Lepisosteus oculatus: one gene and its partners. The protein of the gene in region 2 interacts with the protein of the main gene of each other region in a pairwise test. Links are inferred from orthologs where the notes say so. Each region holds a gene or a part of one and is shown on either strand. Other genes may lie near its edges. The genes, in order: pelo, lmo3, G patch domain-containing protein 2-like and fblim1.

What was found.
Region 1: the proteins of lmo3 (region 2) and pelo interact in binary tests that used the Homo sapiens proteins (3 or more experiments, as listed by UniProt). The link is inferred for Lepisosteus oculatus from reciprocal best matches to the Homo sapiens genes LMO3 and PELO.
Region 3: the proteins of lmo3 (region 2) and G patch domain-containing protein 2-like interact in binary tests that used the Homo sapiens proteins (3 or more experiments, as listed by UniProt). The link is inferred for Lepisosteus oculatus from reciprocal best matches to the Homo sapiens genes LMO3 and GPATCH2L.
Region 4: the proteins of lmo3 (region 2) and fblim1 interact in binary tests that used the Homo sapiens proteins (3 or more experiments, as listed by UniProt). The two-hybrid records come from large-scale screens. The link is inferred for Lepisosteus oculatus from reciprocal best matches to the Homo sapiens genes LMO3 and FBLIM1.

Annotation. Positions count from the first base shown.
Region 1 is NC_090699.1:1,371,502-1,379,113, forward strand, and holds the start of pelo (protein pelota homolog), read left to right. Parts: upstream 1-4,497; 5' UTR 4,498-4,681; intron 4,682-6,428; 5' UTR 6,429-6,613; coding exon 6,614-6,654; intron 6,655-7,612. UniProt on the Homo sapiens protein: Component of the Pelota-HBS1L complex, a complex that recognizes stalled ribosomes and triggers the No-Go Decay (NGD) pathway.
Region 2 is NC_090702.1:24,869,521-24,877,096, reverse strand, and holds the start of lmo3 (LIM domain only protein 3), read left to right. Parts: upstream 1-4,346; 5' UTR 4,347-4,355; coding exon 4,356-4,449; intron 4,450-7,428; exon of another isoform or gene 7,429-7,450; intron 7,451-7,479; exon of another isoform or gene 7,480-7,542; intron 7,543-7,576.
Region 3 is NC_090703.1:8,763,618-8,771,984, reverse strand, and holds the start of G patch domain-containing protein 2-like, read right to left. Parts: upstream 3,261-8,367; 5' UTR 3,203-3,260; intron 1,947-3,202; 5' UTR 1,928-1,946; coding exon 1,263-1,927; intron 1-1,262.
Region 4 is NC_090720.1:298,235-306,122, reverse strand, and holds the start of fblim1 (filamin-binding LIM protein 1), read left to right. Parts: upstream 1-4,738; 5' UTR 4,739-6,869; intron 6,870-7,888. Other genes in the region: tmem82 (transmembrane protein 82), read left to right, coding at 833-923, 1,006-1,078, 2,552-2,729, 2,996-3,407, 3,483-3,670, 3,832-3,942. UniProt on the Homo sapiens protein: Serves as an anchoring site for cell-ECM adhesion proteins and filamin-containing actin filaments. Is implicated in cell shape modulation (spreading) and motility.

The DNA of each region.
Region 1 (7,612 bases), on a different chromosome or scaffold from region 2:
TGTGTTTCAATAAAGATCTCTCCTCCAGAGATTTCTGGCTCATTTGTAAAAGTTATTGACAGTCCTGATCTGCGTCATCTTTACTGTACTGCACACTGAACACAGGCGTCCTGCTCGTCATACTGCACACTGAACACAGGCGTCCTGCTCGTCGTACTGCACACTGAACAGACCGGCGTCCTGCTCGTCGTACTGCACACTGAACACAGGGGTCCTGCTCGTCGTACTGCACACTGAACACAGGCGTCCTGCTCGTCGTACTGCACACTGAACAGACCGGCGTCCTGCTCGTCGTACTGCACACTGAACACAGGGGTCCTGCTCGTCGTACTGCACACTGAACAGACAGGCATCCTGCTCGTCGTACTTCACACTGAACACAGGCGTCGTACTTCACACTGAACAGACAGGCGTCCTGCTCGTCGTACTTCACACTGAACAGACAGGCGTCCTGCTAGTCGTACTTCACACTGAACACAGGCGTCCTGCTCGTTGTACTGCACACTGAACAGACAGGAGTCCTGCTAGTCGTACTTCACACTGAACACAGGCGTCGTACTTCACACTGAACACAGGCGTCCTGCTAGTCGTACTGCACACTGAACAGACAGGCGTCGTACTTCACACTGAACAGACAGGCGTCGTACTTCACACTGAACAGACCGGCGTCCTGCTCGTCGTACTGCACACTGAACACAGGCGTCCTGCTCGTCGTACTGCACACTGAACAGACAGGCGTCCTGCTAGTCGTACTTCACACTGAACACAGGCGTCGTACTTCACACTGAACAGACAGGTGTCGTACTTCACACTGAACAGACCGGCGTCCTGCTCGTCATACTGCACACTGAACACAGGCGTCCTGCTCGTCGTACTGCACACTGAACAGACCGGCGTCCTGCTCGTCGTACTGCACACTGAACACAGGCGTCCTGCTCGTCGTACTGCACACTGAACAGACAGGCATCCTGCTCGTCGTACTTCACACTGAACACAGGCGTCGTACTTCACACTGAACAGACAGGCGTCCTGCTCGTCGTACTTCACACTGAACAGACAGGCGTCCTGCTAGTCGTACTTCACACTGAACACAGGCGTCCTGCTCGTTGTACTGCACACTGAACAGACAGGCGTCCTGCTAGTCGTACTTCACACTGAACACAGGCGTCGTACTTCACACTGAACACAGGCGTCCTGCTAGTCGTACTGCACACTGAACAGACAGGCGTCGTACTTCACACTGAACAGACAGGTGTCGTACTTCACACTGAACAGACCGGCGTCCTGCTCGTCGTACTGCACACTGAACACAGGGGTCCTGCTCGTCATACTGCACACTGAACACAGGGGTCCTGCTCGTCGTACTGCACACTGAACACAGGCGTCCTGCTCGTCATACTGCACACTGAACACAGGCGTCCTGCTCGTCGTACTGCACACTGAACACAGGCGTCCTGCTCGTCGTACTGCACACTGAACACAGGCGTCCTGCTCGTCGTACTGCACACTGAACACAGGCGTCGTACTTCACACTGAACAGACAGGCGTCCTGCTCGTCGTACTTCACACTGAACAGACAGGCGTCCTGCTAGTCGTACTTCACACTGAACACAGGCGTCGTACTTCACACTGAACACAGGCGTCCTGCTAGTCGTACTGCACACTGAACAGACAGGCGTCGTACTTCACACTGAACAGACAGGCGTCGTACTTCACACTGAACAGACCGGCGTCCTGCTCGTCATACTGCACACTGAACACAGGCGTCGTACTTCACACTGAACACAGGCGTCCTGCTCGTCGTACTGCACACTGAACACAGGCGTCCTGCTCGTCGTACTGCACACTGAACACAGGGGTCCTGCTCGTCGTACTGCACACTGAACACAGGCGTCCTGCTCGTCGTACTGCACACTGAACACAGGCGTCCTGCTCGTCGTACTGCACACTGAACACAGGCGTCCTACTCGTCGTACTGCATACTGAACAGACAGGCGTCCTGCTAGTCGTACTGCACACTGAACACAGGCGTCCTGCTCGTCGTACTGCACACTGAACACAGCTGTCCTGCTCGTCGTACTGCACACTGAACAGACAGGAGTCTTGCTCATTGAAGAAAGAAAGCCAGAAGAAAGCCAGACCTCAGGGAAACAGGTACAAATTCACACTGAACAACAACACATTGGAGCACACATCCAGCTACACATATCTCGGTCTCACCATCAGCTCTTCCGGGAGTTTTGACCTGGCAGTGAAGGCACTGAGGGAGAAGGCACTCAGGGCTTTCTACGCAATAAGAAGGAGGCTCTTCAACATCAACCCACCAACAAGAATCTGGCTCCAAATATTTCAAAGTGTAATCCAACCCATTGCCCTATACGGCAGTGAAGTGTGGGGTCCCTCACAGACCAGGAGTACACTCAATGGGACAAACACCCCACAGAAACTCTGCACATGGAAATCTGTAGAAACATCCTCCGTGTGCAGAGAAAAACTCCTAACAACGGGTGCAGGGCCGAATTAGGCCAGTACCCACTATTGATAAACATACAGAAAAGAATATTAAAGTATTGGCTACACCTAAAAAACAGCGACCAAAATTCCTACCACCACAAAGCCCTTCTGAGCGAAGAGCTGAGCCCAAAACAGAGCCCCCTGAGCCAGCTGGTCCTGAGGCTCACCGACCTGAGCCACACCAACACTAACCAGCCTCAGGACAGCACTGCTAGAGCACCACAGCCCAGACTCAACCACATCACAGCACAGATCAAACAGCAATATCTCACACACTGGGACACACACACACAAACACAACATCAACTGGAATGCTACAGAACCCTAAACAGACAATACACACTAGCTGAATATTTGACCAAAATAAGAAACAACAAACAGAAACAGACCCTGACGAAGTACAGGCTCAGTGACCACAGCCTGGACACACACACAGGACACAGGCAGACCTGGCTGTCCAGAGAGGACAGGCTCAGTGACCACAGCCTGGACACACACACTGGACACAGGCAGACCTGGCTGTCCAGAGAGGACAGGCTCAGTGACCACAGCCTGGCGATAGAAACTGGGCGACACAGGCAGACCTGGCTGTCCAGAGAGGACAGACTCAATGACCACAGCCTGGAAACACACATTGGACACAGGCAGACCTGGCTGTCCAGAGAGGACAGGCTCAGTGACCACAGCCTGGACACACACACTGGACACAGGCAGACCTGGCTGTCCAGAGAGGACAGGCTCAGTGACCACAGCCTGGACACACACACTGGACACAGGCAGACCTGGCTGTCCAGAGAGGACAGGCTCAGTGACCACAGCCTGGCCATAGAAACTGGACACAGGCAGACCTAGCTGTCCAGAGAGGACAGGCTCAGTGACCACAGCCTGGACACACACACTGGACACAGGCCGACCTGGCTGTCCAGAGAGGACAGGTGATCTCCTGTCCCAGCCTGAGGAACAGACAGTGAGCCTGCCTCTCAATAATAATAATACAGTGTGTGATCTCCTGTCCCAGCCTGAGGAGCAGACAGTGAGCCCGTCTCTCAATAATAATAATACAGTGTGTGATCTCCTGTCCCAGCCTGAGGAACAGACAGTGAGCCCGTCTCTCAATAATAATAATACAGTGTGTGATCTGCTGTCCCAGTCTGAGGAACAGACAGTGAGCCTGTCTCTCAATAATATTAATACAGTGTGTGATCTCCTGTCCCAGCCTGGAGGAGCTCTTTTCCACTGGGACCTGTGTGTGTGTGTGTGTGTGTGTGTGTTACAGTAGGAATTATAAACTCATACTCCATTTCAGTATTCTTTCATTTGGATTGATTTCCAGCTCATATATCTGGCTCGATAAGCTGACTGTGGAACTGAAAGCCTCACTGTTCCTTCACATCTCATTGAGGAGTCTGACGGAGTATTATAGAACTTTATTGGGAAGAATAAACCTCATTCTGTTAGAAAACACCTTCTGAGTAAACCTAAACATCAAGGTGGCATGAATGTTATAGACTTTATGTCAAATATAACATTTAAAACTAAGTGGATTAGGAAATATATTAATAACAAATGAAATATTTGGAATCTTATTCCAAACATAACTTTTCAGAATGTTGGGGATCTTGACTTTTTGTTAAAATGTAACTTTGATATTAAAAAAAAAATCCCAATTAAGTGATCTAATTTCCACAAGCTGGTATGATTATAATGGACTTTGTTATACAAACAGTTTTTCACCACACACATATCATATTTGGAAAGATAAAGACATTAAGGGTAAAAATAAAGCTTTTTTTACAGACTCGTTTAACAACACAATGTACAGTATGTCGTGGCTCAGCTGTTGAATGAAGACGGTGGTTGTTTACTCCTGAATTCCTGGACAGACTCCAGCTCGCTGTCGCCCTGAGGAACACGCGGTAGTTTCTAGTGCCATTCCGGAAGGCGCAGAGCGCTTGTTCAAAGCAAATCCCAGCGCGATCAGGACCGACTTCCTTTCTGGTCCGTTCACGGGGGGCGTGGGCATGGAGGATAAGAAATGGAATTATACGTGGAGAACGAATCTTTGTAAAACCCATCTAATCTCTCCTCGTTCATCTTTCTGGAATGCAGTGTGTGAAAATACAAACGAAGTTAGTTTGGACAACTCCTGGTCGATATTGTACTACAGGTCAAGTTAAAGAGATATCAGTTCTATCCAGTGAAATGAGCGCTCTCTGAGTGTGTGTCTGTGCAGGGGGACCTGTGTGTGTCTTGGGCTGACGGCGCTCTCTGAGTGTGTGTCTGTGCGGGGGGACCTGTGTGTGTCTTGGGCTGACGGCGCTCTCTGAGTGTGTGTCTGTGCAGGGGGACCTGTGTGTGTCTCGGGCTGACGGCGCTCTCTGAGTGTGTGTCTGTGCGGGGGGACCTGTGTGTGTCTCGGGCTGACGGCGCTCTCTGAGTGTGTGTCTGTGCGGGGGGACCTGTGTGTGTCTTGGGCTGACGGCGCTCTCTGAGTGTGTGTCTGTGCGGGGGGACCTGTGTGTGTCTTGGGCTGACGGCGCTCTCTGAGTGTGTGTCTGTGCGGGGGGACCTGTGTGTGTCTTGGGCTGACGGCGCTCTCTGAGTGTGTGTCTGTGCGGGGGGACCTGTGTGTGTCTTGGGCTGACGGCGCTCTCTGAGTGTGTGTCTGTGCGGGGGGACCTGTGTGTGTCTTGGGCTGACGGCGCTCTCTGAGTGTGTGTCTGTGCGGGGGGACCTGTGTGTGTCTTGGGCTGACGGCGCTCTCTGAGTGTGTGTCTGTGCGGGGGGACCTGTGTGTGTCTTGGGCTGACGGCGCTCTCTGAGTGTGTGTCTGTGCGGGGGGACCTGTGTGTGTCTTGGGCTGACGGCGCTCTCTGAGTGTGTGTCTGTGCGGGGGGACCTGTGTGTGTCTTGGGCTGACGGCGCTCTCTGAGTGTGTGTCTGTGCGGGGGGACCTGTGTGTGTCTTGGGCTGACGGCGCTCTCTGAGTGTGTGTCTGTGCGGGGGGACCTGTGTGTGTCTCGGGCTGACGGCGCTCTCTGAGTGTGTGTCTGTGCGGGGGGACCTGTGTGTGTCTTGGGCTGACGGCGCTCTCTGAGTGTGTGTCTGTGCGGGGGGACCTGTGTGTGTCTTGGGCTGACGGCGCTCTCTGAGTGTGTGTCTGTGCGGGGGGACCTGTGTGTGTCTTGGGCTGACGGCGCTCTCTGAGTGTGTGTCTGTGCGGGGGGACCTGTGTGTGTCTTGGGCTGACGGCGCTCTCTGAGTGTGTGTCTGTGCGGGGGGACCTGTGTGTGTCTTGGGCTGACGGCGCTCTCTGAGTGTGTGTCTGTGCGGGGGGACCTGTGTGTGTCTTGGGCTGACGGCGCTCTCTGAGTGTGTGTCTGTGCGGGGGGACCTGTGTGTGTCTTGGGCTGACGGCGCTCTCTGAGTGTGTGTCTGTGCAGGGGGACCTGTGTGTGTCTTGTCGGGCTGAATGGGGGGTCCTTGAAGCAGTTATTTATTTGTTAGGTGGAGGTTTGTCAAGTTCTTTTGGACGGACTTGCAGAGTTGTGTTTGCAGGCAGTTAAAGGTGTTTTTTAGATTTAAGTTTTTTTCTATTTTATTGTACTGCTTAATAGAAAATTTGGAAAAAGAGCATGTATTTATAGAATGGTCTAGTAATAATCCCCTTTTTAGTACTTTCGAGGTGGAGCTGAAACACTATTTAAATTCTATTAAAAATGTCAGAAATAATAAAGCACGGAAAACATATGTGTAAAAAAATACAGTTTGATCACATAAATTACTTCATGACCTCTGGCAGTTAAATGTTTTTTTCTGTTTGTTTTTTTTTCTCTCGTACCTGTTTCTGATCCTCTGGTTGTAGTTGTATTTGTAAATTCTTTATAAGTTTAATAATCATTTGTTTTAAAAAGAACCTGAAAACCGCTATCAGCTCCAGCAGCAGCGCTTGCCGGAAGTCGTCATCAAGCTGCGACGCGCTGCGTCTCCGAGCTGCGCCCGCGTCTTTCCGTGATGACGGACTGCACCTCTTCCGAAAGCTGGCGAAATAAATAAATAGACTCAAAGAAATTTAGTTGGATTTTAGAGCAGTTTGAAGATGAAGCTTCTAAGTAAAGACATTGAGAAAGACAATGCGGGGTAAGTCTATCGGGATAGAAACGTCTGGTCTTCGGTATAATTGTCTCGTAGTCATTCATTTAAACTCTGTTGTGTCATAAAACATGAGTGATTTACTCTCACTGTTAATGTACTGGAGTGCAGTGTTAATGTACTGGAGTGTCCAGTCAGTGTGTGTATTAACCCCTCTCTCTCTCAGTGCAGTGTTAATGTACTGGAGTGTCCAGTCAGTGTGTGTATTAACCCCTCTCTCTCTCAGTGCAGTGTTAATGTACTGGAGTGTCCAGTCAGTGTGTCTGTATTAACCCCTCTCTCTCTCTCAGTGCAGTGTTAATGTACTGGAGTGTCCAGTCAGTGTGTGTATTAACCCCTCTCTCTCTCAGTGCAGTGTTAATGTACTGGAGTGTCCAGTCAGTGTGTCTGTATTAACCCCTCTCTCTCTCAGTGCAGTGTTAATGTACTGGAGTGTCCAGTCAGTGTGTGTGTATTAACCCCTCTCTCTCTCAGTGCAGTGTTAATGTACTGGAGTGTCCAGTCAGTGTGTCTGTATGAACCCCCCTCTCTCTCGGTGCAGTGTTAATGTACTGGAGTGTCCAGTCAGTGTGTCTGTATTAACCCCTCTCTCCCTCTCAGTGCAGTGTTAATGTACTGGAGTGTCCAGTCAGTGTGTCTGTATTAACCCCTCTCTCTCTCAGTGCAGTGTTAATGTACTGGAGTGTCCAGTCAGTGTGTGTGTATGAACCCCTCTCTCTCAGTGCAGTGTTAATGTACTGGAGTGTCCAGTCAGTGTGTCTGTATTAACCCCTCTCTCTCAGTGCAGTGTTAATGTACTGGAGTGTCCAGTCAGTGTGTGTGTATTAACCCCCCTCTCTCTCTCAGTGCAGTGTTAATGTACTGGAGTGTCCAGTCAGTGTGTGTGTATTAACCCCCCTCTCTCTCTCTCAGTGCAGTGTTAATGTACTGGAGTGTCCAGTCAGTG
Region 2 (7,576 bases):
ACTCAAAATAGGATGAAGTAATCAAGTATCTTCTCTGTTTTCATCTATTGATATCAAGATTGCCTTGATAGATTGTAAGATCTTCAGAGAAAAAGAAACTCAGTGTCAGATGTGAAATCTGTGGAAATTACATGCACAAAGCTAAAAATCAGTGTCTTCTTCACTGATCTTTCACGTGAAAACCTTCAAAAGTCCTTAAGAATTAACAGAACACTGCACATAACTGATTCATTAACTGAGTCATCCCTCCATCATGGTAAAGATATATTCATCGTTTTTTTTTTTCTATAAATTAGCTTTATTCAGCGTTCTACTTAAGGTATTTTATGACCATTTAAAATGATTTCTACAATTCCGATTTTAATTGCCAAATGTCAAAGCCCTTACCCCAGCTTTGCATGAAAAACAACTGCCTAACAAAGTAAAAAGATATGTCGCGAATAACACAGGTCCCTCTGTGGACTTTATAGTTCTATGTAGATTTAGAGTTTGCATGCGTCCAAGTTTTACAAGTAGGAGGTTATTTGTTAACTTCATACCTAAACCAAAGCGACACGATGGCTTCCCGGTTTTCGCAGTTCCTCTCTCGCTACTTCAGGCACCTGGGCTTCCTTCCAGACTAGGCCCCTTCTGTATGGAGTCTGTATGTTCCGCCCGTGTTTTTTTGAGTGTTTCGAGAAGGGGAAATTAAGATAGTCCTTCAAACGTTTTACAGGTAATGGAGATATTGGTATGTGAATTTAATGGATGGCATTTACGTAAAAAGGCTTTAATTTTCCTCCCAAACTATTTTTTTAATGATTTTGTACAGTATATACAGAATGCAGGACTGAACATAGAGGTCGCTTATAGGAAAACTGCAGCGTGATTAAAAAAATAAAAATATTTAATGACATACAAACATGCAATGCTAATGTTAGGAGCTAATGCGTATCTTTATTGCCCTCTACGGTTACAATCCCATTTTTTTTTATAAATGGAATAAAGAGGGGAAAAAGTAGAAAAGTTTTTCTATTTAACTTACTCATAATAACTCAATGCTCCAAAGGAGAAGGCCATGTGGTAGGGGAAACTATCGGCGTCAGTTCCTTGTAAAGATGCTGCCTCTGAAAACTGCATCCCTAGAAAGGCGGTTTGCTCCGTATTACTTGCTATTGTTTGACCAGTTTGCGCAGCAGTATGTCTTCTTCCCCACTATTGCTTCCTTTCTAAGCGTTCTGTCTTGTTTTCGGATTATCTGTAAGCACACGGTAATGTCTCCACGACGTGAGAAATTGCTGCTTCACTGCGGTGCTAGCAGAGAACTGTACATCGCTGGCTTAGTGTATTTGATACGTGTTGGCACGTGTGTGGCTGTGTGTGCGCGCTCTGGTTCCTCGGTCTTGCAGCAATAACTGAATGACCTTTTCTTGCTGTGTTATGTCTCGCTGGTGAGGGATTGGACTCGTAGGTGATAAAGCTAGGGTTCTCTGTGCTCCATCCCTCAGTCACTGATGGGTAAGTTGTTCTGAGCCCCTCAGTATACTACACGGGAGCTCAGCGGCGGATGTAAAGAGAACACCTGTAGCTCTGTTGCCTAACACTGCAATTAACTGCTTGCGGATCCATGCGGACCTCATTATTTTAAACTTAAAGATCTCAGATACGTCTCGGGCAATGCTTGCTTTATGAACTTTAGCTCTGAAGGGAGAAAGGTTGAAACTGCGCTACTGTGCCTGTTTTTAACTGAGTCCTTTTGCATTACTTGGCGAAGAAGGTGAGTAAAGTGCAGCTGCACAAAATGGATTGACGTGTACCGTAGTTCAGTACAAGTATGTTAGAACATTTTGAGACCCTCTTTTTTAAATATAGGGTGCCTGTGGAAGTTATGCATGCTTAATACAGAAATGATATTTAACTTAATTCATTGGGTTAAGGTGGAAAAAAGGCACCCATTCACTTTTTTAACAAAAACACTTTAAACGCGTGCCTTCACCAATGATGTTGTGTTAGCGCTGTGCATTTTAAAACCTTATTTGTGGATTTAGTGAAGTTTTGTGTATAAATAGATTATTTTCTTTATAGAAAGGAACACTTGTTGGATTTGCAACCACGCATTTACTGTACCAGGGTTTGCGTTACTCATTTGAAGTGCCTTTTCTAAGCAGAAACATACTGTAAATGCCGTGATGTAGATGAAAACATCACGATTGTAGATGGAAACTAGAATATGCTGAAACTTTGCTCTATGTGTAGAATAATTCAAGAATAAGGTAAGAGGTAAAGAACAGTAAGGAGCTGTTAACTAACAATCGAAAGTTTTTAAACAGTTTAAACATTGGTTTCAAACCCTCTCGGAAAACGCTTTGAATACGAACATTTTAGATATGACTCATGCCACTTAAAATCATGTTTTAAAAATAATAGCTTGTTTTATAATGTATAAAATGTCCCCATATCCCACCGTTACTGTCAGCAGCATCATTTAACGAGGACAATTGTTGATGATGTTCTTTATGCAATTCGTTACGGCTTTTATCTCCGTGTTTTAATTTACACGATGTTTACAATCCGCGTTACCCACTGTGGATAGGGTATACTGAAGTGGATATGAATGAGAGACAGTTCACGTACACACTGATATTTAGGATATGTTCCAAGTAAATACCCGGATAAAGGGAAAGAGATTTGCAGGATGAAAAGACGTTTTGTTTAAGGTATAATTGTTTTAGGCTTTAAAACTGCGCTAAACAAAAACATATATCGCATATCTCAGTTCTACGCAGTGCACTTGTCTGTGTCCAGTTGGGTTAACGGCGCTAAAGATACTTTCGCCGGTGTGCATCAGGCGTTAACTTTCCACCTGCAACAGACAAGGAAACGTCGGTTTAAAACTACAATGTGTTTTGTTGATATTATGTGCTAAGGCTGTTGATTGAAGCCATTCCGTGGTATTTGATTAAATTCATTATACAAGGCACTGAAACTGGCTAACATTCGCAAGTAAAGCATGAGGGGATTATAAGATTACGGCGCCGTTAAAGGGGTAAGCATGTGCTTTTGTCATCCGCTGTCATTTGCTCACTACCACTCGTATAGCAGCGGCTGCAAGACTTCCTTTTCATAATCGAGTATTGATGTGACAAACGTTGGCTACGTTTAGCAGGCGATAGTGGATAGCAGGTCTTTCCTTATTTTCCTGTTTATTTTATTTTTTGTCTGGAGCGAGGGTCTCACTTTGAACAATAGCAAGCCACCCTCAGCGTGCAAGCATACAGCTGCTCAGTTCATCCAAAGAAACGAAGCGTTTTTTTTGTCTCTCGAGTTGCATGGTGGTTGGGGTGCTGAAGTCAAATGCAGAAAAGGGAGAAAAGTTTCGGTAAGGATTTTTCGCTGTGCTGTGACTTATTCTTTTTCTTTAGCTTTCTGAGTGTTCACCTTGTCTTGTTTTATTTTAGGAACGTGTGTTGTGTAGGAATCGATGGTGTGAGCAGACCCGTGATCTGAAGTATTCCATAGCTTTGGGATGAGGGGTGTTTTTTCCGTTTATCTTCAATATTGTTCTCGGAGGCTTTAATTGCTTTCAAGAACGTTGGCTGGTGCCAATTATTCTGGCAGGTTTAATGGATAGCTTCAAAATGTTCCCGCTGAATGCTGTAGATAAAGAGGACGTTTAGCACCAAAGACTAAGCACATTAACTCAGAAAGTGATTTTTTTGGTCTTGTTTTGTTGTGCATGCAAGCTGCATCGAAAATTGGGTTCGCTGTTGCAAATCTCTTATTGGCCTTTGCCAAGCACTAGCACTTTGCTACCATGGCAACTGTAATTAAACTGATAAGAGTGGAAAAATGTCAGTATCGCCGAGTCTTGCAGCTGCAAAGGGGAGAAAAGGAGAATCAAATCGGGTCTCAGCTCCATGGCATGCAGTCGTCACGTAGTTTATATATATATTCCGTAAAATGGTATGAGCTCAATTTATAAGGGTTCGGACATCTATTTGTATGAGGTACCCTGAGGGAGTTTGAGTAACATCGGAAAACAGGCAAGGGAGTTCACAGAGAACCTGCGGGGTTGCTCTGGGCGAACGCACAGGGAAAGAAAAAAAATCTTTTAGGCCCAATCCAGCTTTATTTTCCTAAATCTTTTGTTCACTGTTGCTTGGCAATTGGAAAATCGAAGTGGCGAAATTCCTTTCATCTGGATCACTAGACTCCTGGCAGCCTGTTTTCTTAATTTAATAATGAACGAAATTTAGAAAAAGAAAGCTTCTGATTTTTAAGGCAGTGGTTCAGCGCATTATACAAGCTGTCCCAACGCGTCTAAATCTGATTGCAGGCTGAGAAGAGTTGAAACTCTTACTACTTTTCGTTTGTTAATGAGTTGCGGTTACTTTGTTGTGTTAACCAGTGAAGCTGAGACTGCGCGGATGAGTGCCACAGAACAAGGATGCATAATGGAAGCAATCAACCGTACGTGTTTCTTACAATACAATCCAGCCAATTAAAAGCTCACCAGTTTAAATGAAATGAAATAAAATGGGTGTCTGCTCATTACTGCAAACAGAATGACCCTTCAAGCTATTTTATGTATGCCCTAGCTGCTTTTTTCTATTAAATAAAGGGTCTATATAAGATTTCTATCAAATACTGAATTACGGCCACGTTAAAAAAAATGCATTGTTCCAAGGCTGTTAAAACGAGTTTTCAGGACTTTGAAATAACCTCTCGGAAAGGTTGTACTGTCTTTAAACATGATTCTGGACTGTTCTATTTTTTTCCACAAAGATTGCAGCTTCTGTAAAAATGTTTTTCTGCTAAGCAGGATATTAATACAAATATTCCTTTTTTAACATTCAGTTTATCATTTATTAATGCAGCCCAAGACTGTTAACGCACACATACAACTTTCCATGCGTTAGTACTGTATATTGCTGTTAAAAAGTCAAAATCTTTGTGACCGTTGATATTTATGTCTTGTGTTGAGCGTAAAGCGAATAATGGATTCCAGCATAGGTCAATGAAGTTCGCTGTTTAGGTCGGTTACATATTTTCCGTTAGTGGTTACTTGGGAAATAAATGTGTGGTACAGTATATGCTGTATGATTTTCCATACAGTCCTTGTAATGTCCATAGTAAGAAAGTATTAAGCGACCCGTACACATGCCGTTTGAAAAGCGTTGCAGACAACGTTGGCTAGTGTGTTTTAATAATGTGTTAATCGAAGAGATAAAAATAAAACACAATCCACAATATTCAAATGAGAACTCTCCACAGTGAAGCATAAGCCCCTTGTGCCTGGTAAGATACATGTTTCAGTTTTTTATGCAGTGCTTATCCTTCACCGGCCTGAACAGTTAACTGTTCCCTGTCATATATTCCCTTTTCCTCATATATACCACTTGCTCTTAAAATAATTAACAAACAAGAGGAAACTGACTAATTCTGTAGTTTTCCCCCCTTTTATGTTATGAGTGATTCATTATTTTACAGAACTGAGATATTTAAAACAAATCCACATGCAGTAATAGCCTGTTATCCCATTACAGACAGTAGAACCAGAGTTTTCACTGTGGTCATGTTAGTTGACTATTTAAAGATTAAACGTAGCCTTTTTCTGTCTTTGACCATATGCTGTTTTCAAGGCATAGCTGATACTGTAATTCTGTCTCAAACTGCATGTAAGAAGACCCATCAATTTAAGAATGCAATCCTTCCCTTTTCGGTTTTCATAATACTAACTCAATAATTTATAATAAGTTATAGTTCTTGATGATGTAAAAACAAATATAATACAGACACCACATGTGTTCCACATGAAGTCCAACAGTCAGGAAATTAATCAAATAAGCAAGCAAAGAAGCAATCTGTAATTTAAAGGGCACAATGGGAGGTAATCGAGTATAAAATGAATAATGGATTCAGTTATAGGTCAGTAAAGGCCTGTATTGCTGGTGTTGTGTACATTTGCAGTTAAGCCTATGGTTTAGCAGTTTCTGTCAATATCGCACTTTACTCAATCACATTCATTTTCATGTTAAAGAAACAGAGTTGTGTTTGTGCAACACCAAATTAGTATCACACTACATAATTGTGTTGTTGTGGCAGCAATACTGTAAAATAAACAATAACTAAATGTTACATTCTGCTAATTGTGTATGATACACAAATGCTGCTCTGTGATATTACAATTAAATTTTAGTAGTACTGATGTACTGTACAGTGTATAAATCTCTTATTTGCTATTTTGGGACGGATCTTTCAGTGTTTGGATGTATTCAGTTCCAAATGTCCAATAACTTTCAGAATGATTAAGTTAGACACAGTATTATGAAACTTTATTGGTTCTTAACACATGTTCATGGTGGTGGAACTAAAAATGTTTTCATGCAGTTATTCCCTTTTTTTCTTTAGTTTATAAACCAGATCTGGAGACATGCTGTTTTAAGTGTACACGATTCTTCAAACAGGATGCACTGGATTCTGAATTCTTGCACCTCTCCTTAAATATTGGGCACTCATGATTAATTTGGGATTTGGGATTGGGTCACTTTTAAACTACTAAATATCAGTTTGGTGCGTAGTGCACGTTTACAACAGTATTGCTATTTTTTGTTATTTGATTTTAATCTTAACACACTGTAGAACACAAACCTGAATCTAATGTAATCCTTTTACAGTTTTTCTTAGTTTTGTTTTCTTGTTACTTAACTATAATGTTATATTAAGGTTCTTGATTGCCATTTCATACACAGTCCTCTAAAATGTAGCTGTTGTGCAGACTAGTTAATAGCCCCATACCTCCTGGAGTTGAAAATGGCCACAATGGAATGTAAGAACTTTGCAGGGCATTTGCAGAATTGTGAATACTGTTGCAAATGAGCACATTACCAGCTAAAACTGAATTTGCTGTGCTTTGATCTTTAACAGTTTTCAGTATATCTTTCGAGATGTTTTCTGCTTTATCACTGTCGTAATTTCATAATCAGGGTTACCATATATGAAAAACAATCTAGGATAATAAGTCCAAAGAGCTACAGAGAAAAATAACGTTTTCGAAGTCACCTATTTTTAATGTATCTGGAGGTTTTTTTTTTCTCTGTCAAATTCTAAGTAAACAAGTTTTTACTTCAGTCAGTGTCCCCAATCGTTTTGCAATCAAACAGTGCAGGTTCCTATATACAGAATGAGTGCCTGCAGAGTTGGAATTGTTTATGTTAGGAAGTCCTGCAAAAATTCATTTAACATTACTGAGCTACGGCTCACTAAAATGTATCTTCAGATTCAAAAGAAGACAAAACACAAATGATGGTGTGTAGGAGTTGTATACTCCCTAAGCATGGCTGGAGCATACTAATTACTCTGTCCAGGAGTCCACATTGTTACCTCAATATAGCTCTTTCATATCACTCTTGGGTTAGTGGATACACATGATGGTGACTGCGGAATCTTTTCAGCCTTCTCCCAGTGGAAGGTAAAATTGAGGATTTTTAGTTGCGAAAGACAGCTTTGATTGTAATAATCAATGATGTAGGAAAAAGAAGACTAGATATCACTAGTATAAAGGTAAGAAAATCAATAGTGATGTTGATTTTGTTTT
Region 3 (8,367 bases), on a different chromosome or scaffold from region 2:
TTCTCAGAACTGCTCATGATTTTGTAACTTACTACATTATTACAAAAGATGGAGTCAATTAAGTAGCTCACTTATTTCTCTTTAGAACCACAACAAACTACACCTACATTATTTTCCTCAGACACCCAGGCTGAATGGGAGGATATCTTTGTGGGTTTTCTGGTGGTTATTTTGCTCTGGAAAGCTCCCCAGAGGGAAAACCCTACTAGTTCTAGGCAGATGCACGTCAGTGCACACCACTGGCATCTGAACATTTCACAAAAGAAACGAGGAAGCTAGATGTAAAAAAAAAAGTGCTGGGTGCAAGGACAAGTGTATTTCTACACCACGTCTACATGGAACATATGGGAACTACCCTGCACTGGCTAGGAAGTATGTCAGGAACAGATGGGCAGCTAAAGCATTCAGGGAATAGAGCGGAAATTGTTAATTATCTAGGATGTACGAAAATTGAGTTTGAATTCAGACTTGTCAATATAACTTATTTTATGGAACATTTTGACACATATATTATACACATTAAATGAAAAAATATCCATTATATGAACTTACAAGAAAAGTCATTAGGTTTAACTGGAACCTAAACAAACTGCTCCAAAGTTATACTCTACTATATCATATTCTCCGAAACAGAAAACCTGTGTGAAACAATATATAATTCTTTTGATTGTTCCACTATTCTAACATTGGTACCGCTATGTATCATGATTAGCCCTGTTTTAAATTGTGCATATTATATATTAAAGGAAAACCTGAGAAATTATCTCTCAACATGGTTTCAAAAAGCTCCCTATGTTATTGCCTGCCCAACTGTCATAATCTGTGTTCCTTTTATATCATACTGTGCAAGAAATCAATTCCTTGTGAATGCACAATGCAGTTCATTTCCAGAGTGTACAGTTACAAATTAATTGACAGAGGAATGAATGTATTTCATATACTGATGATGCATGGCATGTCACTGTTGGGCCACATATTTGAGGCAGGCATGCACCACTACGCTGTCTGTTGATTAAGTGTGACAGACTGAAGAGAGAAAAACGCAAGTATCAGAATCTGCTTTGGGGCTCCAGAGTATGTACGTAGTCAGAAAAAGATAACAGCTTGTTGATAGTTTGTAGAGAAAAATCAGATTTATGACCTAGTCCTTATTCAACTACTGGTCTCGTTACCCTACACTCAACTACGTTTTAGGTGTGAGATTCGTTTTCACCGACATTATGGCTGGGCTGAACCACAGAGGGTCCTGAAGGGAACATTACCATTCGGACATGTTTTCATCAGAGGCTTCCTTCTGCTCCTCAGACTCAAACATCATCTTCTCCTTCCAGCCTTCCTGGTGGACGAGCCCACTGCTGCCCACCGGCTCGGAGCCCCCAGCCCAGGGGCAGGCACTCTTCTTCACCTTCGAGAGGCGCTGCTTTTTGGCCAGCTTGTGGCTGCCCGCCCTCTCGCTGTCCAGCTCGGACACCTTGAGCTTCTCCTGGAGGCTGACCGTCACGTCCGAGGTCATGCGCTTGACCTTGCGCCGCCTCCTCAGGGGTCGCCCTGGCGTGTTCTCGGTGAAGGAGTCCGACTCGGGCCAGGAGTGCTGCTTGCTCTTCAGGGAGGAGGAGAAGGAGGGCCGCCTCTTGGCCACGATCATGTCGTCGGAGTCGCTGAAGTTGGCGGCGTTGGCGTTGGCGCTGGCGCTCTCGCGGCAGTCCTTGGCGGCCTCGTCCAGGCTGGACTCGGAGGCCTCGCTGAAGCAGCGCGCGTGCTCCAGGGAGTGGGAGGAGTCGCAGCGCCGCTTCCGGCCACGCCGCCGGCGGATCTGCCGCCTCTGCTGCAGGGGGCTCAGCACCATCTCCTCCCACAGCTCCTCCAGCTTGGTCTGCTCCGAGGTCTGCTCCAGCGCAGACGCCAGGTCGTGCACCAGCTCGTCCATCACAGCGCGGCCACCCCCTCTGGCAACGGAAACAACACAGCGCGGATCACGAAAAGACGGAAAGAGGAGAGCGGGGGTCTCTAGTATCAAGAGTGACTTACATCACACATGCTGCAGTCTAATCTAGGTTTGCTCTGAAACTGCATCACCAAAGAAACGCCAAGAGACCACCTTAATTAAATTCAATCAGGCAGGTAGCAATAGGTTACGCTGGGTAATTATGCAAAATGGGAAACTAGGAGAGTTTCTGTAATATTTCTACAGAGAGAGTGAATTGATATTATATCTGTGCTCTGGACACCTGGGTACTATGCATTTACAGCCTGTACATCTTAAAATCCAATTCTACAATCTATCCACTTTTCATGTATGCTTAGAAACGCCTTGTGTTCGCTTCTAAACAGCACAACGCAATTCACAGCAATCATTTGGTGTAATATGCTGTAAGGTGAAAGGAAAGATCCGTATGCTTCTTTGTGAATTTGGGCCCAAACCCAAATCAAATCACTTGTGTGCAAAACTGTTTGCAATGACTTATACCGCTCCATACTGTACTGAGTCAATACTGATTAAGTGAGTCATTTAACACCCTTCTGAATGCAGCTTGCAAGCGTTTAATTTCACTTGTTGGATTCCTCGCAGTCAGGGCAGTGTTCACTGCAAAGCGCAAAACCTGCAGTTTTAACAGTGCTGCTGGCTCCGACTTCACTGACGTCATCGCGCATCCTCGAAAATACCTTCAGTGTTTACAAGAGTCAAACCGAGGACAATGCGGAGTCCGCTGCCAATTTCGACAAATATGTCAGATGGTCGGTGGCAAAACGCGGAGGTTCTTCATGTACAAGCACACGTGCCTTTCATGCACTCAATTCTGCTCCATTTTTACGTCGCAAAGGGTAGCAAAATTTGAGTATTAAAGAATTGAGCATTCTGATAAAACAGGCACGCTTGGAAAACGGGGCTTCAACGTTGCAGGTCTGTCTAAGTAAAAGCACAACATATTGAGATTCGTCTCCTCCGTTTTATTAATTGTTCTTTTTGGTCATATCAGGTTTTTTTTGTTCAGGTTTCTGGTTGCCTATTTAACATGCCTATTAGTCCAGACCTTAGCAGGCATGTATACTACCTTTCGTTACAAACATAGTGTCAGAGCTTCGACAGGATAAGTCGCATATTACAAACCACTTATTAACGCTTAAAGCTATATGTGCCGTTTCGGAAATCAGCATTAAATCTTTCTTCCTCGGTATGGTACTGTTGTTATACAAAACTCACCAGCCGCAGTTCCTGCCTGTTTTGTTTTCGCAGCTAAATACCTCGAACGTACTTCCGCCCCGCAGGAGAAGCTAGCTACGTATTTCCGCCCCGAATAAGGCAGGCAGTTTCGCCCTGCAGAAATCCGATATCTAACCAACTTTTCTTCAAACGCAGCGTGATGAAAGAGCACTGAAATCGGATCATGTTTTATGTATTTTAAAAAATACGCTTAGATTGATGACTGACTGCATTTACACATAATAACCTAAAGCAAAAAAAGTCTTGTCTTTTCGTGTCTCGTCACGAAACTTAAAACTACAGCAGAGCGAGGTCTAGGTAAAAACTTGAGGTTTACCTGAACATTTTAGTAAGCTCTCATTAAGCAAAATCGGTTATCACCGCTCTTCGCCGGAGCTCATTCATATATAGAATTAATCAACGCATATTTATGGTGGTTAGGTTATGTATTGTTCTAATCTTAAACACCGATTTCTAACGCTGTATTTAATGATAAAGCTATTACATTCATTAAAGATTTCATTTCGGATTTGGGAATTAAAAAGCACAAAGTTATCCATTGTGCATTGTAGAGCCAATATTTATTTTCATTTCCTTTGAAATATACAGCTATTGGGTAAGTAGGAAGAATATGATTAGAAAGTGAACATTATTATTAAAAATTTACGGTTCCTCTTATACGGACCTCATTAACAGAAGTGACAGTTCCTGGACCAAAACAATGTTGGTGATTCTGAAAAATACGCAGTCCTTCTCAGCTTTCCACACCAAGCGATATCATCCTGATTGGCTCAAATTCGGACTAGGTACAAAAAAGAATAACCCATTTTTTCCTGACTGTTAATAATACTTCAGACTCAGAGTTGCTCCGGGATTCCTCTTCCAGACCTACAGGAGATGCCGACATAGTAATGCAGTGAGACATGTCGCGCTCTTTTATTTGCTGAATTATGTTGGCATTTTGATACAGTTTATTTTCCGCTGCGGGAACAGAACAGAAACAGTGACAAAAATGTATATTTAAAAAAAACAATTTAACACTCAGGCACGGACGATACGGTTACTGCTCCTGACTGGCAATCAAGTGAGTATCAAATGAATAAAAACATGTGACCATGTCGTTGCCAATGCTGACATTACTTCGAAGACGCCTGCAATCGGTGGTCTGGGATTGTCCCCTAGCATTTATCAGCCCGCTAGTTAATACCGTTGGGTCTTTCTAAAGAGGCAATTTCTCTTCTTGTCTCTGGAACAATCTAAGTTCACAGGCTGCTGCTCACCTGTTGTCTGTTGAAACAATGTCCTAGTTCTAAAATCCTAAACTTCGAAACAACTCGCCATCGTGAAGTCCACACCCGCAAACACAAATTGAACTATGTGAGTGTACGCATAGCAGTCAGCGCGCCACCAATATACAGAATTTATATTGAAACATATAAATGAAACTTTGCCATGAACCAGCTTCTAGCAGAATTGAGAAAAAGTCATTTATAACTCCTTTCATCTTAGAGATGAAGCCGCACAATAAAAGGCCAGCGAAATGAGCACAAAGGCTTTTAATCTCTCTCATCTTCCTCTTAATAACTGCAAATTTCCCCCTTGGCCCCTGGGAAAGGGGCTCTCTCTGCTGCCACCACCTTATCTTTTCCCTCCATATTTCACGGCGCTCTGTGGCTCCCTCAGAATGCTGCCCCTGGCCTACTCCTGCCAAGGCCTGTGGGAGCGGGCTGCTCCCAGGCCCTCATTGTTCAAGGCATGGGAGGGAGTCCAGAGAGGGAATTGAAAGCAGCAGAGAGAAAAAAGGCAGCACTGCTTCATTAAGCGCTGGCCTTTCAGAAGCAAACATATCAGAAACAGCCCTTTTCAGAGGCAATAATTAGCAATTTGGAGCCTTTTCCCCCCAGGATATACAGTTTCAATTTGCTGGCAGGATAGCTTTAGATTCCAAAGCACTTAATATTCATTGTTTCTCCCATCTCCCCCAGTTCTTGATTTGCATTGTCCGGTCTTTCACTGACGATAAAGTGTTTTATCTTTCGTGTAATTCTTCCTTTCAATGAGTCCTCAGCAAGAGAAGTTAATTTTTATAAATACTTTTCCGAGGGATTTGTTAAGGATGCACAGGACACGATAGCAAAGTGCTCTTCAAGTAGTTCTTAAGTTGGAAGTCTAATATCAAAGACGTCACGTGGGCTCTCGTTTCCTGCATTTGCAATAAGTTTCTGGAACCAGTGAGAATGGGATTTTGAAGTCAGGCATGTAAATCCTTAATCAGGAGCCCCATAGTAACCAGAACGTTCAAATATAAAGTCTGGTCCTGAAGGATATTGAAGTTAAGAGGTTCAAGTTTGCAAAATCAAGAGATACTTTCTATTCCTGCAAAAAGAATAAGAATGGAGAATTTAGTATGAAATGCAGCATGATTTTGACAATAACAGGGAAATGTAAAAAATGCTCTGTAAGGTTATTTCCAGTGCACATGTAACTGAGGAGGATGTTTCCAGTATATACAGTACTGTGTGTTGTAAAATGCTGTAAAGGGGAAATAACACTGCAAGATCTGATATGAAAGGGTAGAACACCTGTAAAAATAACTAAAGCCAGCAGCATGTCACATTAATAGGACATTAAGCAAAATGAGAAATTGCAATGGAAGCAATGTTACTAGTCATTGGATCTAAACCACCCTCTATGACAGTGCCAGGCAATTAGTTCATGTTCCTAATTATGAAGAAAGATTAATTAGAAAATCTCTAGGAATTAGAAAATTGGAGTCCACGTTTTTAAATTTTGATGGAGGTTATTTTCCGTCAGACATCTGGGCCTTAGTAATTGAGAAGTGTAAATAATCCCTTCAAAGGGGAACAATGCATCAACATCTGTCTAATCCTCCGTTAATGACAGTTATCAAGACTTCTCTTGCAAAATTTTCACCTCCAGCTACATTAATTAGCATAATGCAAGCCAGCTAGGATGCAGACATGTTGGTGTGTCAGAGGCCAATACGATCCTTCAGTGATAAAAGCCACTTGTATAATTCTGATTCCTCCTCCTTTAATGAGTACACTTCTGATGTGAAAGAAGAGCTGTCCAACTTTCGGCACTTTAGAGATAACTACTGTAGGATCTCTTTGGCCAAAGCTTTGCATTAAAATCAAGAGGATTTCCTCCTGGCTTTTACTTACAATTGGAAAGGGCAATGACATTCTCCGTAATGTAAGTAAATCCGAGTCTTACAGACACGAGAAGCGTCGTTCAAGTGTAACTGGGTGATTTCTGTGAAAGCAAGTCACGCTATTGCTTGGCAGGGCAGAACAAACAGATTTTCATAAATGAAAAGACAAACATACAGATGAAAAAAAAGTGTTTACCAGTTAGATTTCATCAATGCAATATCTGTTTGAGTTGTCCTAATTTTATAAAAGCATTCCTGCTTACCAGAAAGCAAACTGCTTAAAGGCATAAAGTAGGAATTAAAGAAGAAAGGAATATCTTAAGGAAAGTTAAAAATGGCAATATCACCCAAACCACACGTTGGCTCTTATCTTACAAAATAGAAAATAACAAACCTCCTTTATCTTAACCAACCAACCTGCCATTGTATCAGAATACAGTACCTGCAGTTCATTTGCAATCCAACGTTTTGTCTTACAACGCAAATAATTGATTTTCAATTCTTGCAGGCTCATGAAAAAAAAAATGCCATTACACATTATGCTTTGAGAACCAAAATATAAAGATTTTCATCGAAAAGGAAAAATAAGAGTCTCATTAAAAATAACATTAACATTAAGACGAAGAAGAGAAAATAATTAATGAAGTCCAAGAGCTATCTTTCCTAGGCAGAGAGTCACAGGGGATGCAAACTCACAGACACCAGAAATGAGCTACCTATCTGCAGAACGAGAATGACTTTCCATCCTATTTGATTTGGCTCTGCTATCATCTTTTAAGAAGATGTCAGTTCTGCTCCTTCTATTGCTCCCTGCCTTTATCAACCCTCTGACACACAAAAAAGGCACATTTCAATGCCAGTGCATTGCTAAAGAATAAGTGTTCTGTGATAAAGAAAAGGTTGTTAAATAGATCTGTCTATTTGTATGGTAATAATGATCGCTAAAGACTTGGTTACAGAATCCAACAGAAACCTGCGATTGTGCATTGTTTAACGTGACTCCTTGAATGACCTTGCATAACTTTTATACAGTAATAAATGTGCCAGGCTTGTTGCTGGTTTAATAAGCTAGTCTTTTTTTTTTCCATCTGGTGATTTTCAGTTGCATCTTGAAAGCTCGTCTGTAGCAATAGGGGGAAATCTGACAACCCTGGCACAAGTACTGCAAGATATCTGAAGTTCTTAAGATATACAGCAATCCCACTTCATGGAATAAAGAAGTTATAATAATAGCTGTAAATAATAATAATAATGTTTTCTAACTCACACTTTTACCAAAATAGATTTACAGAGTCCAGGGGGTGAGATATCTATCAACAGCTATTGCTGCAGAGACATTCAATGCGAGTTCTAGGTTTTACATCCTGTCTAAAGGATGGAGCTGAAATAGGTTAAATAAGTTGCTCAAGACTTATTTAACACAAAGTGAGTCAGTAGTTCAGCACAAACCTACTAGTAATACACCTTTTACGTTAACCACTGTTCCACTCAGCCTGCTTATCACGACACTGTACGCTTGGATATAATTTCAGAATAAAATTTAAAAAATAAGAATTTCATAGAACTATTAACCGTAAACTGAGCTTCTCTATAATGCTAATAAAGGATCTATAGATACACAGTAGTGTTCATACTAACCTTAAAGCTTTTTCTCACCTTACCTCACCGGTAAAGAATAGCTTTATTAAACTCAGTGGACTGGAAATCAATGCTTTATACCTTATATATTAACCCTTCATTTTGAGTTTGAAACCCCCAACATGGGCTTAAAAAAGGGATGCAATCTGTAGCCTTCAAGGACAGGGGAAGGCTGACAGGGGCTACTGAGCATCCCTAGTTTTCCATACTCTTACAATAAAATCATTTTCTTTTCATTTGGATTGAATACTACTAACAAATAAAATAAGAAAGCAGAACAATAGGTTGTCTGGCGATTGTTTGCAGTATTTGTTCATCCTTTGGTCTATGGCTGTAGCTGTTTCCCCAGCGC
Region 4 (7,888 bases), on a different chromosome or scaffold from region 2:
TTCTGAATAATAATAATAATATATACACTTCTATAGCGCTTTTCTGGACACTCCACTCAAAGCACTTTACAGGTAATGGGGATCCCCTCAACCACCCCCAGTGTGCAGCCTCACCTGGATGATGCGACAGCAGCCATAGTGCGCCAGAACGCTCCCCACACACCAGCTCTCAGTGAGGAGAGCAGAGATCTCACTGGAGTGTTATAAAATGTTAAGGGTACGAGCTAAACTGTAACAGACGCTTGAACTCGGCAGACGGGGTCACTGGAGGTCAAAGTCGCCGTGCGTGGTCACGTGATCACCGGGATAACAAGGCGCTGTATCTCGGGGACGGAAGCAGCACAAACGCTACTTTCAACGACATCAACCGGCACGACCGCAGCACTGACGAATAAGGTGGGTTTCATCGTTTGTGCTGTCTGCAGGGGGGGCAGCCTCACGGGCCTATCTCAGAGATGTGGAGTCGACTGATTAAAATCAGAGCAGATTCGGACAGCGGCTGTACACACTATCACCCACAAGGCGGCGCTGTTGATCCTGTTTCGGTATAAACTTTTTATCAGGCGACGCTAAAGATACAATTTATTCTTGTGATACTGTTTTTATACCGTTTGCTGTGGGAATTGCATTCATTGTATTTCACAAGCAGTGATTTTTTTGGTTTCACTATACGTCGTCCGTGCGTTCGCCGGCGGCTCCATCGATCTGATTGATTAGTTTCTCGCCCGAAACGAGGCTCTCTGTCGCTCGCGGGCGGGCGGTGACCTTTGAAACCCCGGCGCGCACGCCGGCTGCCATTTCTCTCCGCCCGGCGCCGTGTGTCGCGGCAGGAATGCTGTCCGTCCTGCGGTCCTGGCTGCCCGCTCTCCCCGGCGTGTCGTGGCTGTCGCCCGGCACCGCCACGCTAGACTCGCTGCTGCAGGGTAAGAGCCCGCCCCCCCGGGGTCCGGCCGCCGCTCACTTCCGCCTGGCCCGCGACCCACCGGCGTGTCTGTTTCCCGACAGGGCTGGTGGGCGCGTGCGGGATCTCGGTGCTGTGTAACCTGCTGCGCGTGCACGCGTTCATCAAAGGCTTCAGGTGAGTCGCCTGTCCAGAGCTGGACGCGCCTGCAGTGACCCCTGGAAGGGTCATCGCGTCTGAAGGGCCACATCGTCATCGGCTTGACCAGAGTGTGAGACTGTCCAGGGTGTGGTGCTCCAGTGTACTGAGAGCTGGACCGGAGAATCAGCAGTACTGTAAACACTGAGAGTTATTCAAGTAGCACTGCAGTGACACTGCTGTGTGCGGGGTGACAGTGTGTCTGTAGTTCACTGCAGTAGCTCTTCTCTGTGTGCAGGGTGACAGTGTGTCTGTAGTTCACTGCAGTGACACTGCTGTGTGCGGGGTGACAGTGTGTCTGTAGTTCACTGCAGTAGCTCTGCTCTGTGTGCGGGGTGACAGTGTGTCTGTAGTTCACTGCAGTGACACTGCTGTGTGCGGGGTGACAGTGTGTCTGTAGTTCACTGCAGTAGCTCTGCTCTGTGTGCGGGGTGACAGTGTGTCTGTAGTTCACTGCAGTAGCTCTCTGCTCTGTGTGCGGGGTGACAGTGTGTCTGTAGTTCACTGCAGTGACTCTGCTCTGTGTGCAGGGTGACTGTGTGTCTAGTTCACTGCAGTAACTCTGCTCTGTGTGCGGGGTGACAGTGTGTCTGTAGTTCACTGCAGTAGCTCTGCTCTGTGTGCAGGGTGACAGTGTGTCTGTAGTTCACTGCAGTAGCTCTCTGCTCTGTGTGCAGGGTGACAGTGTGTCTGTAGTTCACTGCAGTTGCTCTCTGCTCTGTGTGCAGGGTGACAGTGTGTCTGTAGTTCACTGCAGTAGCTCTCTGCTCTGTGTGCAGGGTGACAGTGTGTCAGTAGTTCACTGCAGTAACTCTGCTCTGTGTGCAGAGTGACAGTGTGTCTAGTTCACTGCAGTGACTCTGCTCTGTGTGCAGAGTGACAGTGTGTCTGTAGTTCACTGCAGTGACTCTGCTCTTTGTGCAGGGTGACAGTGTGTCTGTAGTTCACTGCAGTAACTCTGCTCTGTGTGCAGAGTGACAGTGTGTCTGTAGTTCACTGCAGTAGCTCTCTGCTCTGTGTGCAGAGTGACAGTGTGTCTGTAGTTCACTGCAGTGACTCTGCTCTGTGTGCAGGGTGACAGTGTGTCTGTAGTTCACTGCAGTAGCTCTCTGCTCTGTGTGCAGGGTGACAGTGTGTCTGTAGTTCACTGCAGTAGCTCTCTGCTCTGTGTGCAGGGTGACAGTGTGTCTGTAGTTCACTGCAGTAGCTCTCTGCTCTGTGTGCAGGGTGACAGTGTCTGTAGTTCACTGCAGTAGCTCTCTGCTCTGTGTGCAGGGTGACAGTGTGTCTGTAGTTCACTGCAGTAGCTCTCTGCTCTGTGTGCAGGGTGACAGTGTGTCTGCAGGATCACTCAGTCCTGCAGTAACCTGCTGCTGTTGCCAGAGCCCTGCAGCTGGTAAAACCTGGACTGGATCAGACTGCTCTTCACTGGGAGTCTCTGTGCTTTTGCAGTGACCCGGGCCGGGCCAGTGGAGACCGGGTGCAGTTGCACAGGAGAGGCGGGTTTATGGAGGCGGTCCAGCTGTGGGTTTTGACGGCGGTGCTGGGAGTGGTGGGTTCCAGGGTCGCTGCGCTGGTGGTGCTGGAGTTCTCACTGCGGGCCGTTTCTGCAAGACTGATGGCAGTGCCGGTGAGCCACACACACTGAACACTGGTCCTCTGAGACTGACACTGAACACTGGTCCGCTGAGACTGACCGGTGAGACTGACACTGAACGCTGACACTGAACTCTGGCCTGCTGAACACAGGCACTCTGAACACTGACGAGCTAAACAGTGACACCAAACACTGGCACAATGCTTGACGCTCTGCTGTATGCAAAGCAGCTGATTGAATTCAGTCTAATAAAGAGCAGAACTGTAAGACTCATTGCAGTGCCACCTCTCTGCCTGCAGGAGGCCCTCCACAGCAGCCAGCTACTGGTGCAGTGCCAGTTCTCCCTGGGCTGTGCGCTGACCTGCAGCCTCAGCTTCCTCCAGGAGGGGGCGCCGCAGAGCACCCTGAGCCTGGCGCTGAGCGCAGGGCTGGCAGGGCTGCTGTGCTGGCACACGAGGTCGCTGTGGGGGCACGTGGGCACGATGTACAAGCTGCACAGCTCCCAGCGGTACTGCGGGGTGTGCGTCGCGCTTCTGACCTGGTCCCACGCCATCCCGGGCCTGCTGCGCCGCGCCCTCGCCCTGGCCTTCCTGGTGGCGGCCGTTGCCGCCTTGTCCCTGATCAACCGCGACTTCCTGTCCGCGGCCGACGCCCTGAGGTTCTGGACTCCCCTGACGATCTGCTACACCTTGCTGGTCATCTACATGCAAGGTGAGGGGGGGGGCGGCCGGGGGGGGGGTGTGCGCTTCTGGGTCTTTTACTGACCGTCTCTCCCCTCCCCCTCAGAGGAGCAGCAGCACCGCCCTGGTGGCCAGGCTGTGTTCCAGACCGTGGTGGTGCGACTCGGGGGGCTGCTGGTCCTGATGCTGACGGTCGGTCGCTGGGGCGACGTGCTGCACATCCTGGTGTGCTTCCTGGGGGAGGGGTGCTGCCTGCTGCGGGCCTGGGACCTGCTGACAGCCCACCAGACACAGGTCCGCCCCCCCGCACCCCTGTTCCCTGAGCTCCCCCTCCCCGGCCTCCCGGCTCACACTCCCCCCGGGCAGGACCGCAGGCTCCGGCCTGGCGCGGCGCAAGGGCGCATCGTCACCAGCGGTATGGCGGCGGGAGGTTCACCCCCTGTTTCTGTCTGCAGGAGGCTGAGCTCGGCCCCACCAGGGGCTCCCCAGGGCCCAGGAAGGAGGGCGTCTGCTTGAGAGGCTGTCCTGAGGTCGCCCAGGCCAGCAGAAAAGATAAGGACCTGTAGCGGCCCTGAGGAGACTGCCTGAGCTGAGCCCTGCTGGCTCCCAGTCTACCAACATTGAGCACACCCGCTGGGACCAAGAGACTTGAGCCTTTAGGCGGAGACTTTTCTATCTTGTTTAATTCATGTACTTAAACTTTATACACCTTCACGCCAGCAGAAAGCACTGTTGCAGCAGGGAGAGAAGGGAGAGGAGAGGGAGGGAAAAAGATAGAGAAAGTCATACATTGAGATAACTGGAGATGGAGTAAAGGAACGAAGACTGCCCCCTGCTGGCTGAACGGCATACAGGCAGTGTGCTGGTTTTTTACAGTGCAGTAGCAAGAGCTGCCACCAGAGGTCCAGATCGACATTTTCTCTGGACCTTGAGACCGCTGCTCACAAGCCAGCACATCCAGTATTTTACACTTCAGATCAATCCTCCTCAAATTATTTCAGTTTAAATTGTGTACATATTATTTGGACAATGATCAGGGTGCTGTTGCTTTTGTTGGTGTGTCAGTCTGGCATCTGTCTGTAAGTCGGTCAGAGTCAGATTGGCTCTCTCTTCGTCTCCCTCTCTTCCTCGGTGTCTGTCTGTGTGCGTCTTACTGTCCCCTAACTCCCCACTGACTGTCTGTTCTCACAGTGTTCCCACTGTTCCAGGACTGTTTTCACCCTGCATGGAGTTTGGTGTAATAAATAATATGAGAATGAAAGTTAGAGGGAAGCTGCCCACAGATACAGAAATACAAATGTGAGCGTGTGTGTGCGTGTGTGTGCGTGCGTGTGTGTGCGTGTGTGTATGTGTGTGTATGTGTGTATGTGTGTTTGCACAGACTCTTTTGCAAGAGCTCTGCCCTCTGAGCCCTTATCACCCCTGCCCTGTTCTTTGCTGATTGTATCTGTAGGGAGTCACTTCTGTTGTTTTTCAAAGGTGGAGATAAATTCCTTTGTTGCATGTGGCAGTTAAAATGAATAATTACTGCTGCTGTCTCTAAAGACACTGTCCCTGCCTCTAGAGACACCATCACTGCTGCTGTCTCTAGAGACACTGTCCCTGCCTCTAGAGACACTGTCACTGCTGCTGTCTCTAGAGACATTGTCCCTGCCTCTAGCGAATATTTGGTTTGGAAGTAGTGGGGCTGATGGGGATGGTGCTCAGGTCCTGCACTCTCACACGGTTGTTCTGAGAGAGGTGTGAGCACTCTCACTGACCAGGCGCTCGTCAGACCCTGCGGACTCGCAGGCCTGGCTCATGCTGATGGACCACAGTGTGATATACTGACAGCTTGCAGCCTGGGACAGAGGGGGTGTCACTGTGACCCCAGGAGCAGGAGGTCTGCGAAGTTTGCCGAATCTGCGCAGCTCTGCTGAGTTGGTGCAGTTTGTCTGCGCAGCCCGGCAAAGATGTAAACGCACCAGTGGGACCTGAAGTGAGTCCAGTGCGAGGAGAGAGCTCACCAGCCCAGCGATTCACCTGGTTTCAGACAGGAGCCCAGAGCTGTCTGCTGCCCTCCTAGAGCCTTGCTGTTTACACACTTTCCCAGCTGTGTGTGTGCGAGAGAGTGTGTGAGTTTCACTCAGTGTCCAGAAAGGACTCGGAAAGTCTCAGTGTTCCCCTCTGCTCTGGGCCGGGTCAGGCGCTGTCCTGCTGGGGCGGCTGGTTCAGTGGAGCAGTTGGAGGTCCGAACAAAACTCTGAAAGTCCCAAATGTAGAAGTGAAACTAGAGGTTTCTCTGTGCCGGAGAGAAGCTGCCTGGGAGTGTGGCTCCAGCTCAGCCGGGTGGGAGTTCCAGGCAGCGGAAGTCTGGGGGGGGGGCATGGGGCCCCCAGGGCATGACTGACAGCAGGACAGCGGGGTGGGCGGGGCTGACCTCTCGACCCTGTGGGCAGGAGGAGGGGCTGGCAGGGGTCTGGGTGATGTCATCACGGACAAGCCCCAGCAGCCCTGAACATTCCTCAGAGCCTGACTCCTGCCTCCACACCCCTCCCCCTCTCCCGCTCTGTCCCAGGCGTCTCCCTGCTCCTGCTCCTGTTTTCCCGGCTCCACACTCCCCTCCCTCTTTCTTTATGAACACCTCTTCTCAGTCCCTGTGCCAGAGTCATCGTGTGCTGTTAATCCGTGACGTTTAGGCCTTGTGCACGCTGCACACACTCCCAGCCTCGTCTGCGTGTCACAGATTCGCCGAACAGCTGGGTGTACGCGCTGCACACACTGAACACCAGATGTGGATATACTGCATAAACACACTGAACACCAGGTCTCCATATACTTAATACATTTGCAGACTAAGCACCAGGTGTGTTTATGAACTGTACACTGAACGCCAGGTGTTCACAGGCTGTGTACCATATAGACACTCTGAACACCTGGTACGCTGTTGATTGGCGTATACCTGCTGCACCCTGGGGTGTCCTGTTCAGGTCTGGGGCCAGCAGCAGCTCCAGCTGGGAGGCAGGGAGAGGAGAGTCTGGGAGAAGGGGGGCGGGGGCTGTCCGTGGGCAGGTATCTACTCACATCCTGCTCCCCCGCAGGAGGAGGAGACAGAAAGAGAAAGAGAAAGAGGGAGGGAAGCAGTGGGGGTGAGGCTGTGCGTCAGTTTCGTGGAGCTCAGGCTCTGACTCAAGAACTGTTCACCTTTTCCGGCCGGAGCCGGAGCCGCAGAGGGGGAGGGAGGGCTGGAGGAAAGGGAGTGGCCTGACGGAGCTGCTCTCCAGGTCCTGGGACAGAGACCCGCCGTGCCGACACCCTGCCAGGACCGGGAGCACAGACACTGCGCGGGACCCCAGTCTGCCCAGCACAGACGCACAGCGAGAGCCAGGCTCATCTGCAGGCTCCCCCTGACGGCCCTGATAGCCTGGAGCTTCACTGCACAGTGCAGCCAAGACACTTCTCTGTCATCTGGAGCAAACTGAGGGGCTCATTACTGTAGACCCCTGGGGTACAGGTTAGTGCTGGATTCCCTGTCTTGCAGGGAGAACTGCTGTCTCTGTATCCCTTTGTCTCTGTGTCTCTGTATCCCAGTGTTTCTGTGTCCCCGTATCCCTGTATCCCCATAGCCCTGTGTCTCTGTATCCCTTTGTCTCTGTGTCTCTGTATCCCAGTGTTTCTGTGTCTCCGTATCCCTGTATCCGCATATCCCTGTGTCTCTGTGTCTCTGTATCCCTTTGCCTCTGTGTCTCCGTATCCCTGTATCCCCATATCCCTGTGTCTCTGGGTCTCTATCCCCATATCCCTGTGTCTCTGTATCCCTTTGTCTCTGTGTCTGTTATCTGTGTGTCTGGGTTACTGGTCTCTGTGTCTGAATAAATAAAGTATTCTATCATTGTTTCTGAACTCTGGCTATGCTATGATTACTAGACTCCCTTGTCTCCCATGAATGAAGCTACTCAGGAAACATGCTGTGTCGGCAGCACCTCTCCACCTTCTCAATAACCGATCACACCTGAAGAAGGCTCTACAGCCGAAACATTGTGTTTCCTTTCTTTTCTTTTCAGCAGGGAATAAAACCCGTTACCCGTTCCTTTGTAGCCTGTGCATGCTGACGGATCTCCCTACTTGATCTATGTGTAAATAATGTTGATCAGCTATCAATAATGCTGTGGTCAGTAGTTTCCTGTTCAGATAGGGCTACAAACTTGTTGCTCCCAACACAAGAAAGTACAAGGAGGGCTAGTTAGTGTGGGACAATTTTAATCTTTTTTGCAAAATGACTTCAATGATTCATGAACTGTTCACAGAACTACAGTGCTGCTCAGACCTCTCCTCCCAGTGTGGATCTGTGTCTATGGTAAGTGTGTTCCAGGGGTGAGCTGGCATCTGGCTTGGTGCCTGGCCAGTGTCTGCCAGCTGCAGTCAGCAGCCCAAGGTCACAGCAGCTGTGATACATCTGTCAGTCACAATCTGTACACATCTGGACTGCAGATATTAGTATGGTGTATAACCATTGTAGTGTAGACCCTCAAC